Notamacropus eugenii: one gene and its partners. The protein of the gene in region 1 interacts with the protein of each later gene in a pairwise test. Links are inferred from orthologs where the notes say so. Each region holds a gene or a part of one and is shown in the gene's direction. Other genes may lie near its edges. The genes, in order: EIF4A3, CCDC174 and PDCD4.

Region 1 (7,008 bases):
TTTTTTTTTTTGGTATGTTTTTGGTTTTTCCTATGGTTTTTCTCTTTTGTTCTGATTCTATTTTCACAACATGACTAATGTGGAAATATGTTTAACCTGATTGTACATGTATAACCTATATCAGATTGCTTGCTGTCTTGGGGAGGGGAAAGAGAGGGAGAGAGAAAAAATTGGAACTCGAAATTTACAAAAATGAAAGTTGAAGACTATCTTTACATGTAATTGCAAAAAATAAAATACTATTAAGTGCAAAAAAAAGTTAGACCCTCATGAATCTTTAAAGTTTCTTATATGAAGTACAAGGTTTATATAAGGATAAAAATGACAAGTGGTACATAAAAACCGAGTTTCTCTTTAGTTTCAGGATTGGAAAACCAAATTTAAGAGATTGTACTTGCATTAAATCTTGTTACTACTTGATTTTATCAGAATTATCTAGGAACCTTTAAAAGTGATTTGGAACCAAAGAAATTGAGTCTCCTTTGGAGCTGCCCTGAGAATGAGGCCTATTCCAGCATGTTCAAGGGAGAAGATATCCAGAGAACAGACAACAAGAGACATCTGGTACTCAAAATGTGTTGATGAAAATGGGAATTGGGAGTGGGTTACTAGGATACAAGGAGACTTCATTTTAGATAATATTGATGATCATTATTGTGTTGGTTTAGCCTTTTATTTCATGGTGTTTATGTTTAAGTTTTCATGGTTACCCTGGTGAAATATAAATTAGTCCACTGTAAGCCCTCTAATTAGCATGATCTATATAACCTGACTGATGTAATTTATGAATATATGAAAAATCTTATGGATTTGGCTTATAGATAAGTGATCCATGGAGGGAATGAGCTGCCACTCTCCCATGAAAGAAAAGGGGAAAATTGAGGGAACTGAATTGTGGGAACTGGGTGAACCATATCAGGTCCATCTTGTGAATCAATTCTGGAGCTAGCTGAGTTCCCTACTCAGTTAGTGGTATATTTCACTTTCTGTCTTGTGGGAAAACTTTATTCAGTTGTAAGAATTGGGGGAAAACTCCATTGCACTGTTTGAACCCAGCTCTGCATACTTGGGAGGCCTGTTTAGAGATCCTTAATTAAGACCAGAAACCCAATCAGACCCCAAAATTGATACAAGTAGTTTTCTCACAATTATACATCTCAAGCAATGTCTTTTCTGAAAACTGGCCCCATACTGATCACTCATTTACTGTTATCATGTTCCTCTGATTTTTCACAGATATGTGGGGGAAGTGGAATATCCTTTTGATTTCAAGGAACTGCACCTGTTTCCTCTTCTAACCAGTAAAGTCCCTGATCTTTCTTCTACTTAGAAGTCAGTTTATCCAGTGTTATATTCTGGTTATTTCCTCTTACTCAATTGGTCTTACTTGATTGTTTTTAATGTATACTAATGTGTCTCCACCTGCGTTTGAGGTCCACTACCAAAGTTGAGGAAGGAGACTGGTCCCAATTTGTCAGGCAAGTAGCAGCATTGCTGAATAAACCAAAATGCTCAGAAGTGCAAGCCTTTTTTGGTTTCCTTAGTCATTTCATCTTCCACTTGCCACAAAAAGGCAAATTATCACCTGGGAATGGAGCAAAGGAAGATTGAAAGAAGGATGATGTCAAGGTGATTTGAAGTATGGAATATAAGTATTAGATAAGGCCTTCTGCTAAGAGAGAACAGGGAAGGTATTGGTACGGGCAGCTTGAAGAGCGAAAATACACTTTGGGACAGACTTTCAAGACTGTGATAGTTCATCGGGAAGAATAAAAAGATTGGCATACAGGAGTGAGGGTTCAGTTGAGACAAGATAACACAAACTTATAGTAGACCTAGTCAACCGGATTTTATGATTTCTTCCATTTGTGTTGGATATATAGTCATAATAAACAGATTTTCTAGCACTAAGTTGGGAATGCAGCTCCTTGCATGTGATAATCATTTGTTTGCCAGATGCAATAACACTTGGGCCAGAAGTAACATAAAATCTTAAGGCTGGAAGAGACCTCAGATGTTACCTAGACAAATGATCACCTAGCTCCTGCTTTCAAAATCCTCTATATGTTTAAATGCATAAATGGTTGTTGTCCTTTATTCTCAAAGAGGATCAAAATGACATCACTATGTTGGAATAAAGGTACTGTGTCCAACTCTGCACAATACAACAGCTTGGAACATTTTACCTCAGGTCAGGTACAGTCCATATGAACATTTGGAGTGGCGATGTCTCTAAATTTGTGCATATGTGACAGTTGCTAAATTTTCTTGAAACAAGAGCTGTTTTCTTTCAGGTCTTTTTGACCACAGAGTAGAATCCTCGTCTGCCACAGTAAGCAGGCCAGGGTTGGGTAAGGTAGACAATTTTTAGGTCACCTTTTCTAATCCCTTCCTCACACCAGGAGTTAAAGGGTAGTCCAAAAACAGCTGCTCAGACACCCAGGTGGCTACCAAATCCCACTCCTGGCTTCCAGTGAGAAGAGGTCCCTGTGGCCTGGCCACCTGTGTGCAGCACTGTGACTACCTGCTGCTTGGTCACTTACCTGTCAACACAGGGCTTTGAAATAGGTAAAAATGGTAAAATGGAATAGGTGATGTTTTCTGAGGCACATAAATACACACAAACACGCTTATCACAGTCCTTTACCTGAAATAAAAGGTTTATTTTATACATGTTACTTAGGAGAAGCAATGTGGCATGGTGGAGAGGGAGGAAGACTTAGTCCTCTCTGAAACACATAATGCCTATGTGACTACGGGGTAGCATAGCAAGGTCCATAAAACTTTTAAACTTCTGTAATAGTTTTCACGTCTGGTCTCTGAAGTTCTATATTCCTTTCTTATGTGTGTAAGAAGTTGGTTTTGCTCTTTAAAATTATGTAACAACTAGTGCTATACTTCTTCACTTTGAGGAGGAATTACTAAATGGATAATCCCTTTTGTAACATGCATTCTGGGCTGCTCCCTCAACTTGAACTTGTACTGGCACTCATGGGTTGGGTCCTCAGAAAGGAGCTGCTGCCAAGAAGTTTTAGAAGGGTATCCAGGAGCTACTCACTCCTAATAACTTTGCAAGCCCCCACCAGCGGTTGGCAATCAACCAGAGGACAAAATTAGTTCTTAGCAAAGATATTTACTAAGATGATACAGCAAAGGCAAGTTACAACCCCCCCCCCCCCCCCATAAAATTAAAGTATGCCCTCCCACAACGTCCTCCAGAGGAGTGGGCATACACGGGATAATCAGGTCTTCACGAGCATGCGGCCCAAGCAGTGGGAACTCCAGAGCCTGGAAGTCCTCTCTCTCCTCGGGGAACCCAAGATCTAGCCCTCAGTGCCGTGTTTCTGCGGGGAAGATCCGGCTGGGCTCTCGATCCCTTACCATCTGCCTTCTCTGCAGCAGGGGTCCTGTTCCGCCTTCCAGGGAGTGTCTTTCTACACAAATGTCTCTCAGCTGTGCCTACAACTCTCAAATGCGTGGACGGGAAGCGTCCCGAGGGGCGCTCGCTGCCAGGTGCCACGGTCACGGGAGGGAGGCAGGAGAATTCTCTGCGTGCCCCACAAAGCCAAGCCAAGCCATGAATCTCCCCGCGGGGCTTGGCTATTGAAAGCCCCCAAATAATGATTACGAACCAGGCCTGAATGCCGCGGCTTCTTCCCCAGCCCAGTCCTGCACTGAAATAGTTTCTTTCCTAACCCCCATATTCTCTCTCTGATCCTCAGGGTGGAGGCCCACTAGAAGCTTAGGAGGCTGACGCCACTAAGACCCTAGGCCTACGGGTAACTCCCCCTCCGCTCCCCGCCCCCTCCAACGGAAAGCGCGGCGCCTTCCCCGGTCACGTGACCTGGAGAGAACAAGGAACCGTCGGATCCGCCTGGGCGCACGTTCTTGTGCGTACGCGCCTATGCGTGCGTGCTTGCGCACGTTCGGACGCACACCCGCCCACCCCTGACCTTAACTACGGAGATGGATAGATGACGGCGCAGCCTATCAGCTGCTTCTGTGTGCTTCTTTCTGGGGCCTCGGCGTGCGCGCGCGCGCGCAGTTCCCTGCCTCCCCTCAACCCCTTTCCGGCTTCCCAGGCAGTATGGCTGCCACAGCCACGATGGCTACTTCAGGTTCTGCTCGGAAGCGGCTGCTGAAGGAGGAAGACATGACAAAAGTGGAATTCGAGACCAGCGAAGAGGTGGATGTGACCCCCACCTTCGACACGATGGGTTTGCGGGAGGATCTGCTGCGAGGCATCTACGCCTACGGTGAGCAGGGCGCGGGCGCTGCCGGGGGCCGGCTGGCCGAGGCGGGCACGCACGCTGCTGGGAGGGAAGGACGCCCGGGCGGGGGAGAGAAGGGCAGATTGTGTTCAGGGCCAGTGCTACGAGGTGCGCTCTGGTTAGGTCGGGTGTCGTTGTAGGCCTTCGGGCAACGGGCAGCCCGAGCAGCTCCAAGCTCCGCCCCGCGGTGACCTCATTGGGAGGCCTGCCTGCCCGCTTCCCTCGCGGAGTCCTCGAGCTCGCTGCCCCGAGCATGCTACGGAGCCCGCGGAGGGAGGGGTGGGGGAGGAGGAGCACGCTTCCCGGACCCTCATAAGCAGAGTAGCAGAGTTGGAGAAACCATCTACTAACTTCAGTCTAGTTCAACCTCCCATCTCTCAGCTGGGGAAAACTGAGGCTCCTAGAGGGAAGTTCCACAGCCAGTTAGTGGCTCTTGACTGCTATATGCTTGCTGGACTAATGCATTTTTCCACCAATTAAAATCCCTCTATTCTAGAATCTTTCTGCTTTGTATCTTTATTTTCTTTGGGAGATGATCGATCTCTAGTCCAACTTACCTCATTTTACAAATGAGAAAATGAGCTTTCACAAAAGGTTTCTTGGGAATGTTTGAACACTGAAAGTTAGGTACTCCAGAGAACTATAATTGGCTTAAGAGGAAAACACAAGTCTACGTTAGTTAGAATTCCAGCATTATAAATCGTTTCTATTTTACAGTTCGGTAACCTATCTTTAAAGTATAGTGAGGTTAGGGTGATGGAAAATTTGCATAAAATTTTCAACGTAATTATATTTTACATAAAGTTCACTTTACAAAGGTTTTTCCTCATAGCATCCCCATAAGGTTGGAAGTACAAATATTATTATTCCTATTTTACAGAAAGATATACTGAGACTTAGAATCTATTTTTGCTCAGTCTCTTGACTCTAATGTTGGGGTTCATAGTCATATCCTGGTCTTGAAATTCCAAATTTAGTGCTCCTGCTACAAGATCATTATTAGTAAAGTAGCAGATAGTGATTTGTAATTAATAAATATTTAATTGAAATATATTAAATGTTTTTACTTAGCCTAACAAAGGGGGTGAGGGTGTAGCATTTATTAAACACCTTCTATGTGCCAGGTGTTATGCTAGGCACTTTAAAAATACTATCTCATTTTATCCTCAGAACAATCTACTATTATCTCTTTTTTAAAGTTGAGGAAACTGAGGTAAACAGGAGTTAAATGCCCTGTGCCACACAGCCAGTAAGTGTATGAGGACAGATTTGAAGTGGAAAAAATTCTCAGTACATTAATGTGAAAAAGTTATTGAGTTTAGGCTAGATGCTCAGTGATTCAGAAGACCCTGAAAATTCATAAGGAAAAATATTTTGAATTTTTTATTCAATAATAATATAAACTCCTAGTTGTTATTTAAATCTTCTTCACAAGCTAGCTCTTCACTAGCGAAGGACAGACTGACCACCTTCTAATCTTATTATACTTAAACACACACACATTCAGCCAGACTGCCTCATGCTGATTCTCACACAAGGCATTCCATCTTCTGTCTCTGCTGCTTTTCCATAGATTTTGTTCCCCATGTTTGGAAAGTATCATGGTGGGCCCTTCAGTTCTCCCAGCCTTTGATTTGAACTTCTGACCTATAGCATCTGCTTTGATATGGCATTTTTTTTTTTGACCCACCTACATAAACTCTTATTTGGACTACCAACTGTGCAAAAGCTGGTTTAACTGTGGACTTGGGGTAATCGCTGAAGAGTCATTTGTTATTTCAGCATCCATAAAGGGTAGCAACTCTTTTTCCAAGTGTTTCAGTATTATCAGTTTCTTCTATCTGAAATAGATAGTATATTTAGCAATACTGTAAACTGAGAGTCTTTAACTTCAGACTTCATCTTACCAACAAATCTTCAATTATGAACACAGATATATAAATTTTTTCTTGTTTTTAAGTAATTTCATTTAAATGACAAATATATTTTATCCCCAGTATCTCACATTTATTCCTTCCTGCCCTTTGAAACCACTACACTAACTCAGGCCCTTATTGCCCTCTCATTTGGATTGTTATAAAGCCTCCTAATTGGTTTTCTTGATTTTAATCTATCTGTTTTCCAACCAGCTTCCACACAGCTGCTAAAATTGACTGTGTATGCCACTGCTTCCACCCCTACCCCCGCTTGCCTCTAGAATGAAATAAAAACTTCTTAGCCTGACACATTTTACATTACTCTTCTTTATAAAAGTCTACATTTCCAACCAGACTGATAAAGATTTCCTAAAATAATGCTCCATTTCCCAGCTCTATGAGTTCACACATACTCCTTCCCCATACATGGATATCTACTCCCTCTTTATCTTTGCCTCTTAAAATCCTTAGCTTCATTCATAGCTCAGTTCAGGGAACACCTCATTTCCTGATGACCTCCATCCTTTCGTTTTTAGTGTTGTCTTCCTGAGATTATCCAGTTGTGGACCTGTTAGGTAAAGGTCACATAACAAAGTAGTGGTAAACCTAAGAATAGAATTCAGGGCTTCTGATGATCTTTAGCCTGCTCTTTCCATTGCACCAGTTCTTTTCAACAAACATTTATTACACACCAGCTTCATGTAGAGCACTGTGCTAGATTTACAGAGAGGAGTTTGGAAGACACAAAGTCTCTTCATGAGGTTTAGTCTAGTTGGGCAGACGTGACTCGTGGATAGATAATTATGATACAAAATAACAGA
Region 2 (8,083 bases), on another chromosome or scaffold:
CTTAGAGAGGCTTGTTCACTGAATGGCCGTAACCTCACTCTAAGTGAGTACCTGAATGGACCAAGGTCTCCTATTGCATCCTGGGACATCTTCAGGTCATCCTGATGAATATCTGGTCCCTGGATCCAGATGGCTCAGGAGGAGAAAGTGAGGCTGGTGACCTTGCACAGCCCTCCCTCACTCAAAACAAAGTCTAGTGCAAGTCATCTTTGTATTCCAAATGTAGGTATCAGGTTGGTGTACATTTCTGGACCCCATCTGATCCTTTCTTAGTGTTAAGGAATGGATTTCAGATGCTCCAGAAGAGTAAGAGCTTCCTGAACACAAGGATTATGGCTCCCCTAGAATACTGTAAGATGTACATTTTGGTCACTAGTCTTTAAGAAGACTTTAGACAACCACATATTGAGGATTTTGTAGGAATTTTTGTTTGGTCATGTATGGGTTGGCCTAGGCTGCTTCTGTGGTCCCTTTCAACTCAGAAATTCTCTGACATAATTCGTGATTCCTGGTCACACTATCACTGAACATCAGAGCTGGAAAGACCTCCAGAGGTCAGCTAGCCTAACCCACACCTGAAAAAGAATCTCCCTACAACAGAAGCAGCAGGGTTGGTGGTGGTGGTGGTGGTGGTGGCAGCTTATAGCCTTTACTTGAAGCTCCCCAATGAGGGGAAAGTGACCAAGGGCCTCTCTTAGCCCTTTGGGATAGCCTAAGTCATCGGGAAGTTTATACTCACACGAAGTTTAATTTGCCCCTTTGCAACTTTGGCCCTTTATTTCTAGCTCTGTCCTCTGGAGCCAAACAGAAGAAAAAAATCTCATCCCCCTTCCATGTGATAGCCCTTCCTAAACTTGAAGATGGCTCCCATGCTTCCCCTGAGTCTTCTCTTCTAAACAACTCTGCTGCCTTCAGCTCCTCCTCCATTGCATGGATTCAGTGCCTTTCACCATCCTTGTTGTCCTCTTTGTAGTCTCTAGTTTTTCAATACCATTCTTAAACCCTGGTGCCTAAAACTGAATTCTTTCAATGGGGTCTGAAGGGGCCAGAGTCCAGCACGGTTGTCACCTCCTTCCTCCCTTCATGCCCAGGATTCCATGGACTTTTTTGGCTAACGTTTACCATTGACTCATCGAGCCTGTGGTTTACTAATGCCACCAATCTTTTTGAAACTCTTCTCCAACTTTTTTTTTTTAACACGTGTATAAGAATTTATATTTATCCCATTAAATTAATCTCATTAAATTCAGCCCTGTATTCTCACCAGCCAGGATGTTAGTGATCTGTTTACATTGTTCGTTCTCTTGCCTTGAAAGATTGGGAGATTCATTTCTTTGTTGTGGAGACTAGCAGACTATAGCCCAAAGCATACTGCTGGGTTATGGCGCACATGGGGGCATCAGGGTGGCCAACAAAACTTTGATGACCTGCCAGTCTTTTGTTGATGTTTCAATCAACAGGGAAAGAAGGGCCAGCCAAAAGACAACTGAATGGGATAAAATGGGATCCTGAGGTGTTTGCTAATGGTATGCCAGTTTGTAGCTAAGTTACGAACATAATATTGTCCCATTTTTTCTTTATTTAAAACTGGATGGAACCTTAGGAAATTATCTGGCTGAGCTAATTTGATCTACAGGTAAAGAAACTGAGGCCCAAAGAAATAAAATAACTTGCACATGCTCAACAAGTAAGTAGAAGAGTCAGGCTTACAACTTATGACCTATTTTATTTTTGTTTCTTATTTTCTATGACCTTACAGTAGTCAAAAGTTCCTCTGAGCCCTTCTTCTCTGAACTTTTTAATGTGTGGTTCTGATAGAGAGGTCCTTTCTGTGATTCAGATTACAGAAGGATCTCCAAATCAGAAAGGACCCTAGCAGCCACATCGTCCAGCCTATACCTGAAATCCCTTCCATCACATCCCTGAAAAATTACCAAGTCTCTGCTTGGAAGTCTCCAGTAGCACTCCCTCATAGATCCCACATTTCATCCATCAGTAAACATTTGTAAAATACTTATTCTGTGTCATACTTTTTTCCTTAGTGCTGGCAATGCAAAGCAAAAACAAGAACAACTCCTGCCTTTAAGGAGTTTCCTTTCTAATGGAGCCAACAACATGAAAATCATAACAAGAGATAAATACAGAATCAATGGAAAAGATGGCACTGGCAGCTGGGGGACCAGGAAAAGCCTATTTAAGGATATGGCCCTTGAGCTGGGTCTTAAAGGGAACCTGGGACTCCAAGAGCGTAGGATTGGAAGAGAGAGCATTGTCAGCATGCATGGGAACTTCCAGTACCAAGTAAAGAGACAGGAGATAGAGTTGGAGGAACACCAAGTAGTCTAGTCTGGTTGGCTCATTGAGTATGGCTTACAGAATGTAAGAAGACTGGAAGGGTAGGAAGTACCCAAGGTGTGAAAAATTTTAAATGCCGAAGGACTCTATATTGAATGTTGGAGCCATTGGAATTTGTTGAGTAACAGGGATGTCATGATCATCCCAACACTTTAGGAAAATCCCTTTGGCAGCTAAGTGGAGAATGGATTATATGATGGGAAGAGACTTGAGGCAAATGACAAAGGGAAAGGGCTGTTGCAGTAGTCCAGGCAAGAGGTACTGAGGTCCTACAACAAGGTAGTGACTGTGTGAGTATAGAGGAAATGTCCAAGAGAGATACTGGAGAAGAAGAAATGAGATTTAGCAATTGATTGAGTATGTCGGGTGAGTGAGAGACAGGAGTTGAGGGTAACACTGGAGTTGGGGTGTGCTTTAACAGTGTTAGGAAAGTTGAGAAGAAGGTAGGGCTTGAGGGGAAAAATGAGTTCTGTTTTTATCACATGAGTTTGAGATACCGACAGCAATTCAGTTCTAAATGTCCAAATGGCAACTGGTCATGTGGGACTGATACCTGAGAGAAAGAGGCTAAGGTTGGATAAAAAGGTCTGGGAATCATTTCCATGAAGATAATAATTGAACTGGTGGAGGATGCTGAAATAATACACAGAAAGAGGAGAAGAGAACCCAGGACAGAACCTTGGGGCATACCCACCATACCCATGGCATGGATGGCAGTCTGGCAAAAGAGACTAAGACGAAGCAGTTAGACGGGTAGACCAAAGAGAGGGCAGTCATGGGAACCCAAAGTAGAGAGGGTGGTTAAGCATGTCAAGTGCTGTAGCCTTTGATTTAGGGAGGCCAGATCTCTAAAAAGCAGAGTCTAGACGATCTTCATGAAGCTCAGCCCAGTAGCCAGGTAGGGATGGTTCTGGGTTCCTGCATATAGTCTGGGGGATGGATTCTTAGAGTATGATATTGGGAAATAGGATCTGGAGAATGAAAGAGTTGGACTAAATTACCCCTGCATTCCTTTCCAGCTTTAAATTTTGTGATCCTTTCTAAGTGTCATTTAGAGGTATGTTTATGCCCTTGTGATTGAAGAATTTGTTTTAGGGAAGGCACAGAGGAAAAGATAAAAGCTTAACATCTGTTCAAGAAAATTAAATTCAGAAAATGAAACTGTCTTTTACTCCAGAAAGTGACATTAGGGATATTTTTCCAAAATAGAAATTTAATTGTCTAGATAAGAAAAACCGATGAAGGTAGAAAGGCAAGAGAACAGGCATTCCTATAAGCTCTGGAAAGGACCTTAAAGACCATCTTATTTAATCACCTTATTTTACAGAACTGAAGCCCAAAAGGTCATGTGTCTTGCTCGAGGTCAAAGAGCTGTTGAGTGATGGCACTGAAAGACTGAAGCCTGGGTCTTCTGAGTTTGTATCCAGCTCCCTAATGAAGCAGCTCACTGCTTCAATATTGTAGTCAGTAACCTTATCAGAGATCTTGTTTGCTTTATTAGCCCCTTTAACGTGTATTTACTGCATTTACCTCTTTTGAATATTTTGATAGTGTTACAAATCTCCTTAGTGGTGGTGATCACAGCTACCCATGCTTTCTCCTTTGTGATTCTCAGTTATGTTTAATAATCAAGATCTTCTGAGGAACATCTCCCTGATGCATTAGGAGCCATACTCTGGATTTTTTAGCCTGTAATGAGTACCAGTGCAGCACTTGAGTGTCCTATCATTCCCACCATCTCAGAGCATGGTTGTATACAAATAACTGGCCTTGGGGAGCCAGGAGAGCCTCTGTCTACGTACTGGCTGTGTACTGGCTGTACGACCCTCGCAAGTCCCTTAACCTCTCTGTGCCTGAGGCAATTCTGAGACTAGAAGATAAGCAAAGATACCAGTTTGTGTTGATAGAGGGAATTTTTTCATCTAGGATTCCTTGTATCAGTGAGATTTGAGTTTCTGTTTCTTTTCCTACATTTTCTGGATGAATTGTGTTATGCCATTTCTTAGGCACAAATTGTCACTGGTAATGTGATGTGGCCTACTTATATGTGCCATGAATTTCTTCATTGTCTTTTGGTTTAATTCTTTGGAGATCATGGTTTTCCATGGTTTAAAGCCATTGAGAATCACAAGGACAGCATGATTTTTAAAAATTGTGGCTGGTATTGTGGCTATCACTTTCATATATTCATTTCTGAATGCTTCTCCCCTCTTCCATATGCAGCAAGTTACCCCTTGTAACACAGAGTTTAAAAGGGAGGGAAGGGTGCATGGGGGAGCAGTTCAGCGTATCAAACGTATTATCCAAGGTTGGTGATGTATGTAATGTTCCATACTTGTGGTCTCCCACCTTTGCAGGGGTCAAGTTCAGTCATTGTATTTATTCAGCATTCATTTTTGTTATTATCCTTTCCATTTACATTATGATTTTCTTTGTGTCTGTTGTCTTTTGGCTCTCTCTTCTCTACTTTGTAGCAGATGGAATAAGCATTTCTGTGTTTCTCTGAATTTTCATCGTTTCTATAGTACAGTAATACTTTATTACATTCATGTGCCACAGTTTGTTTAGCCATTCCCTTATTTCTGGGCATCTGCTTTGTTTCTGGTTCGTTGCTACTTACAAACAGTTCTGCTCTGAATATTTTGTTGTATATATGATCTTTCTTTATGACTTTGGGATATATGCCAACTACTGAGATCTCCAGATCAAAGAGTATGGACTTTCCATCACTTCTTCAGCATAATGCCACATTGTTTTCCCGTGTTGTTGAGTCACTTCAGAGCTCCACCCACAGTGCATCAGATGGTTTGTTTTCCTACAACCCTATCAATGTCGACGTCCGTCTTTTATCATCTTTATCAACTTGCCAAATATGAGGTGAATCTTCAGAGTTGTTTTGATGTTAATTTCTGTCATTCATTAGTGATTTGGAGTACTCTTTCATATAAAAGTTTGTTGTTTGAGAACATTATTATTAAGATGAGCTTTTGTGTTAGGGAGTGTCTTGAGATCTTTCAGAGCGCTCCCCAATTTCCTCAAGGCAACCTGATCCACTCAATCTTCTCTTCTTACTCAGTTGTCCAACATATATGTACTGATGGATTAACCAGCTGTCTTTGTAACTACATGACCATCACATGGACAATATACAGTCCTCATCCCCTTGGGTTATCACCCATTCAGCTTGATGAAAGGTAAAGGTGATTGTTTTTTATTTTTGTTCTAGATAGTGGACCTCAAAGCTGAACTTTTCCGAAAACAAGAAGAATTCAAACAAGAAAAACTTCTCAAAGATGCTGGAGTTCCAGGGAAACCAAAATCAACCAACAAGGTAGAAAAATACATTTATTAATTTCTTGCAGACATAAAATTTTTCACAACTATAGATATTATTTCCTGAACCTGGTGAATGGTAGACCACAATGTCTATTCACATGTTTTGTTATCAATAAATAGCTCTAATATAACCCCAGAGGATAAAAATCCATTTGCGTCATTATACTGAATAGCTGCCAAATGAGAGCATCAGAACAACAGGAACGTACTGAGGAGGGCTCTAAAAGCTGCTGATGGCTTTAGATTTGAGTGGTTTAGCTTCATTTACATTGTTACCTGTAGTTGGACAATGAACATTGTTCTTCAGATATGTTGTTTTCTAAAATTAGAGCTGTCAGTGAGGCTGTAATTAGGGAACAGATTAATGCTACTAGTGATACTATGTGACTGTCTAGAAATTGTTGTTAGCGCATCCATGACTGAGCTCCCATTGTATCTGGCACCATAAGTAGGCTTTGTATTCCATTGACCAGTTATTTGCAAGTTGTTTTCCTTCTCCGGCTATTAAGTAGTCGTCTTACTAACAGTCACATGTTGGTTTTATTGTGTTGTTTGGTTTTTTTTATATTCCCCAGAAACCAAGTATCTGGAACAAACAGAATGTTGGTGTTTCAGAACGGGCTGAAAAAGATGCTGAACAGAAGCTTGAGGAGCAGAAGACCTTAGACAAGTCTAGGTAACATCAAGCCCCAGGAAATGTGTGTTTTCCTCACCTTTGAGAGATTTAACATGAGCCTTTAGGTAAAGTAATATCTAAAACATGCCAGTAAAATGGAGATCTCCAAGAAGAAGGAAATTGTTTTGGTTGCTCCCTAAATTTTCCTACCTATGAAGTCAGCACAGTGGTCTAATTTAGTTGTGGCAAAAGACTGGATCACCTGTCCCGACTTGGTCCTGTTTATTACTGCAAAAAAATAAGTCTCACCAGAGTTAATGGACAGAACAGCCATTTCTTGGATAAAATGCCAGTGAGTCATCTGATCATATGCTGTAGTCTAGACAGTGCTAGACCAAGAAGTCAGGACGACCGACCTTATTCCTCCTGCCTTTGTGACTCCAGGCAAGTCACCTTACCTTCTTTGGGCCTCAGTTTACTCTCTTGTAAAATGAGAATAACGGTACCTGTAGTATATTTAACCTCACAGAAGGTTCATGAGGATCAGATGAAATCATGTCTATAAAGTGCTTTACACACTATGAAGTGATCAATACATGTCAACTTTTGGTAGTAGTAGTAGTAATAGTAGTAGTCGTAGTAGCAGTAGCAGTAGTAGTAGTAACAGTAGAAAGATTGCTCATGGCAAAGGAACTTGCTTTGTAATAATATAAACACCAATGTGATGAGACATCAGCTTGAACATTACCTGGGTGTAGCTCCCTGGCAGTTGAGGCTATACTGTGAGTACCACTAGCTTTCAGTTCTATTAAGAAGGCTTAGTGCTTTCTTGTTAGCGTGTCTGTGGCTGTCTTTTCTGAAAGGTGCAGATAGAAGGCCTTTTGTTAGTGTTTGGAAAACTCTTGCCTCCTTGACATTTAATGCCAGTTCTAGTTTGGTGTCTTTAGTAACTCTGAATTGGGTTTAGTTTTATGGTTGAAAGTACTATTGTTTTTTTAATATGTGTTTCTTCTTTTTAGGGAAAAATTAGAAGAGAAAGCCAAATTGTATGAACAAATGACTAAAGGAGACTTTTTAGGTAAATATTCAACTGAGAGATGTTGATGTGTTTCTAATTCTGTCTTTTCACTTAAAACCCTATTGAATTATGTATTTTGTTTTTCAACAACAGTAATAATGGGGAAGAAAGCTGCCAGATGTTCATGAGTATTTGCTAGAAAAGGAGTTAAATCAAATCATCAAATTTATTGAGCTCTGATTCCATGTCAGTTGTTCAACAAGTACCTACTATGTGCTCGGCACTGTGATGGTAACTAGGGACACAAGTACAAGGAAGGAAGCGGTCCTGGCTCTGACAGGAGCTTCCACTTCGTACCAGGCACCATGTCAAATTCTGGGCAGGTTTTGCTTCAATACTTCTGTTGACCTGTATTCTCCTAGCCCTTTGTGTTATTCATCGTAATCTTTGACTAAATATGTATTAAGTGAGTAGGTAGCATTCCTGTGACTCTTTTTTTAAACCTTAATGTAGCAAAATCTCATAAAACAATTTAATGAATTTGTTTATGAAATAGGTCAAATAAGGTCCACCACATACCAGGTGACTTGATTCTCCCCGCTCACATTGATAATGTCCTCTAGACTGGTACTGTCCTTGATTGCTTTGTCTGTTATGGAGAACGGTCATTCTGTTTTCTACCCAGTGTTTCTCTAAAAAACTTAACCTTTGTGTTCTCTAGGCAATGACATTGTCACTGGGCATAGATTCCTCTAAGC
Region 3 (6,938 bases), on another chromosome or scaffold:
ATTTCCTCTATTTGCAAAGGCTCTTTTTGGACCTTATCATTTAGTTTTCTTTGAGAGGCAAGAAAAGACTTCATGCAGTGACTAACTGGTTCAAGTGGCTGGTTAAAAAACAGTGACACGTTTTAGTTCATCGGAGAAAAAAATGAGAAGTGTTCAAACTATCTGAGAATCAGAGGACATGAAGAACTTTTTGAGGACTAAGTGGGACTGAAGTTGTGATACTGAACCAGAGGGAGGAGAATGTGAGTAGGTTTACCTTCTCAAAGCTTATATAATTATAGCTAAGGTGTGGTGATGTGTTAATCATATAAAACAAGTAGGTTAGATGGTGTCCTTACAAGGGGTTGGGGTGACAGAGGAGAGAGTTTTAGTCAGTCTAGGTACATGATCTTTTTTAAGAGAGTTTTGAGAAGTAAATCTTTAACTGATATATTGCAGTCATAATTAAAACTGTCCCAAAGTCCCAAATATAGCAAGAGAGGCTTGATTTAGTAAGGAAAGTTATTTTCCCTCACATTCTCCAAGGTTGTGCTTTAGAGCAGAGGTATCAAACACACAGCCTGCCAGCTGCACTGTGGCCTGCAACACTCCTGAGCGCTGCCAGAATCAGGTTAAAATATAATTGGAAAATACTTAACAAGATAAATAAAAACACAATTAAAATAGATAATTCTACTATGCGGTATTCTAGGTCAATATGAGACCTGCAGTGAATGTATGGATAGTTTAGTAGCTGCACGGGGCCTCCCCCTTTCTATGGGAGTTTTGACATCACTGCTTTAGAATATAACTCAAAAAGGGAATTGGGGAAAAAAGAATATGAACTGGGAATGAAAACTTACTGGCTTTTATTTCTGCTTAGTACTTCATCTTTTTAAAATATGGTTACTTCTTTGTGCCCTGCTGACAGTGTAATAATTTTTATTTTTTACTCTTGAGAAAAATTTCTAAATATTGTCCTGGTCCCTGGTAACATAGCTTCTAAACATCTGTTAGCTTATTTCCCAAACTTGTCAATGTCTTTAGGACTGCTTTCACTGTATTTAGACTTGAATATTTAATCCTTTACTAAAGAGAAGCAACATGTTGTGATAGGAAGGTCACTGGAAGCATCACCAGGGCTCTGGAGATACAAGTTCTGGTCTAGGCCCTACCATTTACCAGCAGTGAGACCTTCTTACTATTCTGGGTCTCAGATTCTTCATTTGAAAAATGGGGATATCAATACCCTGGTACTTCAAAATAAGTGAGGAATTAGATCAAATTCTACAATTCTGAAGCACCTACTATATGGAGAGCACTAAACTGAGTGTTCTGGTGGGATGGCTAGGTAAGATGAAGCTCAGTCTGGATTAAAAACAGAGAGTTGAGGGTGGGAGAGGGAAAAATTTAAAATTTATGGAAGTAAATGTTGAAAACCAAATAAACTTAATTTAAAAAACAGAAAAAAAAATAGAAGGTTGAGGTGAGGTTTCCTTTATTTATCCTCTGATCAATAGCTCAGGTAGCTCCTCTCAAGAGTGAGTCCCAGAGCTGTGAATTAATTTGGGAGATAAGCTTCTCTGGAAGTAAGGGAAGAACAGGTTTTGGGGAAAATAAAACAAATTTAGTTTTGAGTATGAAGCATTAGTAGGACATCCAAGTGAAACAGAGATGTCCTTGAGGTAGTTGGCCATGAAGGTCTGGAACTTTGGAAAGAAGCCAGGGATGGAGATTCAGATTACCATAAACTATCTCATTATTTATTTGTATGAGAATATGTTGTATCCTGCTAGTAGAACATAAGCTTCTGGAGGGCAGGAATTGTCTTTGTATCCTTGGCTTCTAGCATAATGTCTGGTGTGGGGTAGGGAATCAAAATGTTTGTGGAATAGAATTAAGAGACTATGACATACATACAGAAGGCAATGGGATGAAAACCAAAGAAATTGGCAGAGGTGGACTACAGTCACTGATATGCTTTTTACTAACTTTGTGACTGGGTAAATTATTTTAGTTCTTCTTTTTCCTTGTCTGTAAAATGAAGTTAGGCCTGATGATCTTTAAATTTCTATCCAAGCCTGACAATCCATGAGACAGCCATGGGAGACAGTTATAGGGAGAAAAGAAAAAGAGGGCTAAGGGACAAAGTTTTGGAGAACACATACTTTAAGAAATGGCTATTAAGGTTACCTTACTTTCTCAAATCAGGATTTGCTTAAATGAAAAGGTTATGGGGGAAGAAAAGTCATTTAGGCAGTTCCAAGGGTGGTAATGATGAGGTTGAGGGGTGATCATGGACCCCAAGATACCGACAGTCCGGGTCATGCTCGAATGAATTCGACTCAAGCTTTCTTAAAGCCAAAGAAAACAAAGTTTATTAAAGATTCGCCAGATTGGGTTGCCTCTCAAGGAGCCTAAGCATTTGTGAGGCTTGTATTTACAAGCGGGCCAGACAGAATCCCAGCTAGACAGTCTGAGCTGGATTGAATCTGAGCGCCTTCATGGAGGCAAGATGGAACTTAAATACAGAAAAGAGTATAGGAGGGATCTGGGGGGTGGTCTGGTAGTAGAGGGTGATGGGAGGATGGATTTAGAAAGGATCTTGAAGAAAAGTCCAAGGAGGGAATCCAAGGAGGGTCAAAGGCTGGAAACAGCTGGAGGCTATCACGAGACAGACTAAGGGGGACCTAGGTGGGAAGCAGGTGGGGCAATCCAGAGATCCTGATAGGGGCAGTGTGGGAATGTACACAGATCTTGATGGGTGTGGTTGGCAGCCTGGGGAAAGGGGGTTTTGATGGGATCAAGGGTGGGGGTGGGGGTGGGGGGGGGCAACAGAGATCTGAATAGAATGATAATGAAAATCCCATGGCTTCCGGAGACTGCCGGAACTAATGGGAAGATTAGATTTGAGTAAGAAAGGCCAGATTAAGTGGGAAGATTCAAGGGGAGCTCAAGGAGGTTCCCAGACTCTGAACCCCATCATTAATAATAATTTTTATTTTTTATCCTTTCATTTGAACATTTCCAAGTAATTTATCAACATTAACTTATTAACTTCCCACTCCCTTCACCAACAAATATGGAATATGTCTTTTAAATGTGGATTCACATATTATCTTCCTTTTGTCTTACAAAAGGTGAGAGCTTCCAGGTCCAGCGAGGTAGTCATAAAATGCACATCAGGTGAAATCTAAGACCTGCTTCTTATCCCAGACTAGCACTGCCCTCACTTCTCTCAGGACTGCAGGGATGCGTCTTTGTATCTCACATAGATGCTAAGAATGGAAGTTAGAGATCTTACAGCCCAATCTGCCTGCTAATTCCTTTCCCTATCTAGACTCTCCCCTCTCTGAGTCACCCTCCACATAACCCATCCATCCAAAACAACTCATTATCTTTCCCCCCAAGCCTCCCCACTCCAGAGGGCATCACCATCCTGCCTTCACTTGGGCTCACAAGCACAGTGCCACTCTCCACGCATCTGATTTGTTCCCAGATCTTTCATTTCTACCTTCACACCATCTGCTCCTTAAGTTCCTCAGCTACAACTCTCATCCCCTTTGGTCTGGACTCCTCTATGTTCCTCAAATCTCTCCTCCGAAGTGCGGGTCTCACCCAGTCACTTCATCTCCTATTGCCTCTAGGGTAAAGTAGAAACTCTTCTTGGCTTTTAAAGCCCCTTACCCGGCTCCTTCCCTCTTCTCTAAGCCCCTTAGGATCGTGCCACCCTGTCCGCTCCCACGACCCAGCCCCACCACGGTCCAACGGGAGCAGGGCTGGACCCCCGAGCTCTCTAATGACCCGCTGCGGGAGCCCGGTTTGGGAGACTCGGGTTCTAGAGTAGGATCTGGAGGATTTTTAAGATTCTTCCCAGCTCGAGGAAAAGGAAGCCAAAGGACGCCCATCTGTCTCATGTGATCATGGGCTTCCAGGGCTAAGACTCTGCAGGACAGAAGAGGCAGAGCGGCTGAAGCGCGGCTAGAGATCCGGGGAGCCAGCTCGCCCAGCCCCAGGCCAGGCGGCAGGTCTGCAGCCCGGCCTCGGGACCGCGTGGCCCAGGGAGGCGAGGCTGTCCTGCCACGGCGGGACCCTCTCACCCACCACTCCGAGGGGTTTGGGGGGGCTGTGGGACTGCGGGAAGGGGGAGGGGATTTAGGGAGAGGCGCCAGGGGAGGCTCAAGGCAGGCGGTGCTTCTCTGTGTGCAGACCTGAGAACAGGACAAGGCAAGGGGAAGAAGCGCTAAAGGAAAAAGCCAGAGGGCACCGGCCTGGCAGTCTGCTCATTTCCCCACTCTCCCCCTCCGTTTCCCTCTCCTTTACTCCCTTCCAGAGAAGCGAGACACGCATGCGCCTACGCAGGCTCCTCTCGCGACCAGCTCCCTTCTCCTCTCTCCTTCCCTGCCTCCCTCCCTCGCCTTCGCTCCGCCGCTCTCTCATTGGACAACCCGCCGCCGCCCTCCGGCCAATCAGCGCGGCCCTCTCGCCCCCGTGTTACTGGGTAGAAGAAAACAAAAACAAACAGAGCGAGAGAAGCCAGAGAGGCGCGGAGGAGGCGGCAGCGGGAGCAGCGGCCTCGGCGGCAGAGCTTGGCGCGGGAGCGGTGCGAACGGCGGCGGGGGCCCGAGGAGGGGTTAGTATCGGTTGGGCGGCCGGCAGGCTCCTTTCCCTCCTGGCTGAAGCGGCCGCTCGTTGAGGACGGGGAGGACCGAGCCTCGGACCCTCTGAGCCCTACCCCCCCCCCTCCCCCGAGACCCTGGGGAAGGCCCCTCAGCCCCCTGCGACCGCGACTGCGCCTGCGCCGGCCACTGCGGGGAGGTTGGTTTCCCCGCCTCCCTCTCCCCCTCCCTGCCCCGTGCCACGAAGCGCTCTGGGGAGAGGGCCCCGCCCCCCGAGAGGGAGAGCCCCCCCTTTTTCGGTTCCCCTTGGTGGGGAGATGCCTTTCTCCTCTCTGGCCCGCTTTAAGGGCAGGACCCCACATCTGCCCCGGCCCCCGTTAACGGGGATGCCTTCGTTGTCTTTTCCGACCCCCGTTAGAGGAAAGACCCTCCCTCCTCTCGGCCTCCATTAGAGGGGAGACCATCCCCTTCTTTCCAGCCCGCGTGGGAGAGGACACCTCTTCCTCCCCTCCGCCCCTTCCCCCCTCTGGCCCTCGTTAGAGGGGAGATCCTCCCTTCTCTTCAGCCCCCTTCCCCTGTCCAGTTCCCGTTGGGGGGGAATATCCCTCTTAATCCCTGTGAAAAGGGAAGGCTTTCCCCCTTGTTCCAGCTCCCACTTAGGAGGGGACGCCCCCTTCCTCCCCCGCGGCCCCCCACTGGAAGGGAGACCCTCCCTCTCCTTCCTGCAGCTCCCGTTAGAGAGAAGCCTCCTCCGTTCCAGCCCCCGTTAGAAGGGAAACATCCTCTCCCAGACGCTATTAAAGGGGAGGCTCCCCCCCCCCCCCCCCCCCCCCCCGCTCCTCTACGGCCGCCTTTAGAGTGAAGACCCCCCCCCTTTCCCCTTCAGGCCCTCCTTCTCCCGCTCTTATGGGGGAGGGGCTCCCTTCCCGCTTTCCCAGCCCCCGTTAGGGGGAGAATTCCTGCCCCTCAGCTTTCATTAGACGGGAGAGCACCCCATTTCCACTAATACCCTCTCTTCAAGGGGAGAGCCCTCCTCCTCTAATGGCTTCCTTCAGGCCTTCTTAGAGGAGAGAAGCCTTCTTCCCCTCCTCTTGATTTTCTTTGAACCGCCCCCCCCCCCCCCCCATTAGAAGGGAAAGAATTTCTTTTCCCCCGCAGTCCTTCCTTCCATTACAAAGAGGTGGCCCCAAAGGATCCATCCTCCTGCTGAAGAGGAAGTCTGCTTGACTCTCCCCTTCATGGAGCCTTAAAAGAAGACTATCTGCCTTGTATTTGTAGGCACACTCTCCAGACACCAGCATCCAGGAAAAAGAGACCCATCCACATACTGAAACCTCTGGACTGTTCCTCTTGAGAGGGCTAGCCCGCAGCTGGGGCTTAGGGTTTTCTCACATGTTAGGAATTGATTTCTGCCAAAGAGAGGTTTCTCTTTATTCCTTAGAGAGGTGTGCCTGATGTCCAGTGAGCAAAGTCCATAGGAAGTAGGCCTTGATTTTGCTGGGGAAAGAGATTTATCTCAGATAAGGGACAGGAACTGGAGGGGATCAAAGCAACACCACATCTGTTCTAAGGAGGTAATGCTTGGCCTCCTTCCTGAAGTTTTTGCAATTTACTAATTGGAAAGTTTAGGATCAGTATCTTTTTAAAAAAGCATAATCAAATGAATCCTATCAATGCAAATAAGGGCGATTGGGTACCACCTCTATCAAAATAAATATTCCTGTGAAGTAACAGTTCTGTCAGTAAAATAAAACAAGGCAATCAGCAAACATAATTTCATTAATCTTCAGTGTTTGTCTGGGAGCTTGGTAGATAATATCAATAAGCTCTTGAGCAGATGTTTAAAAGTGAAGCTGATTTTTAAATTGCTTACCTGGTTTGGGTGACGTTATTTTTTGTTTCCCAAAGTTTCAGCATGATTTTTTCTGAGGAAGGTCAGAGGGGGAGGAGAGGATTAGAAATGACTTAATGATTTTTAAGTTTTACCTTAGAAATCTGAATATTGCAGATATTGGCTCCTGGATTATTTGCATTTGTACCCTTACCCTGTGCCAATATGGGTTCATTCAATTTCCAAATAAAACTGCAGGGATCTTTGGAATGATTTGGTCAGGTTTTTTCTCAGATATTCATAAATCAAAGAGGTAAAAATCAGTGCTACAAAAAATACCACTTGGTATTTCTCACAAAAGACTGTGCCTGCATCACTAAGATGCTTATGTTTTAACTAACCATATAAAGTTGGACTTTTTTCTTTGCTGAAAGTTTTGATAGCAATGAGAGAATAGTAACATAATTTTCCAACTCATTTCCTAAATATTGATATTTTCATGTTATTTA

What was found.
Region 2: the proteins of EIF4A3 (region 1) and CCDC174 interact in binary tests that used the Homo sapiens proteins (3 or more experiments, as listed by UniProt). The two-hybrid records come from large-scale screens. The link is inferred for Notamacropus eugenii from reciprocal best matches to the Homo sapiens genes EIF4A3 and CCDC174.
Region 3: the proteins of EIF4A3 (region 1) and PDCD4 interact in binary tests that used the Homo sapiens proteins (3 or more experiments, as listed by UniProt). The two-hybrid records come from large-scale screens. The link is inferred for Notamacropus eugenii from reciprocal best matches to the Homo sapiens genes EIF4A3 and PDCD4.

What each region holds. Positions count from the first base shown.
Region 1 is NC_092873.1:322,650,601-322,657,608, reverse strand, and holds the start of EIF4A3 (eukaryotic initiation factor 4A-III), read left to right. Parts: upstream 1-3,923; 5' UTR 3,924-4,087; coding exon 4,088-4,256; intron 4,257-7,008. UniProt on the Homo sapiens protein: ATP-dependent RNA helicase. Involved in pre-mRNA splicing as component of the spliceosome. Core component of the splicing-dependent multiprotein exon junction complex (EJC) deposited at splice junctions on mRNAs.
Region 2 is NC_092874.1:430,515,792-430,523,874, forward strand, and holds the start of CCDC174 (coiled-coil domain-containing protein 174), read left to right. Parts: upstream 1-5,011; 5' UTR 5,012-5,097; coding exon 5,098-5,232; intron 5,233-5,581; coding exon 5,582-5,686; intron 5,687-6,266; coding exon 6,267-6,367; intron 6,368-7,326; coding exon 7,327-7,385; intron 7,386-8,083. UniProt on the Homo sapiens protein: Probably involved in neuronal development.
Region 3 is NC_092872.1:188,639,250-188,646,187, forward strand, and holds the start of PDCD4 (programmed cell death protein 4), read left to right. Parts: upstream 1-3,920; 5' UTR 3,921-4,007; intron 4,008-4,464; exon of another isoform or gene 4,465-4,797; intron 4,798-6,039; exon of another isoform or gene 6,040-6,172; intron 6,173-6,938. UniProt on the Homo sapiens protein: Inhibits translation initiation and cap-dependent translation. May excert its function by hindering the interaction between EIF4A1 and EIF4G. Inhibits the helicase activity of EIF4A. Modulates the activation of JUN kinase.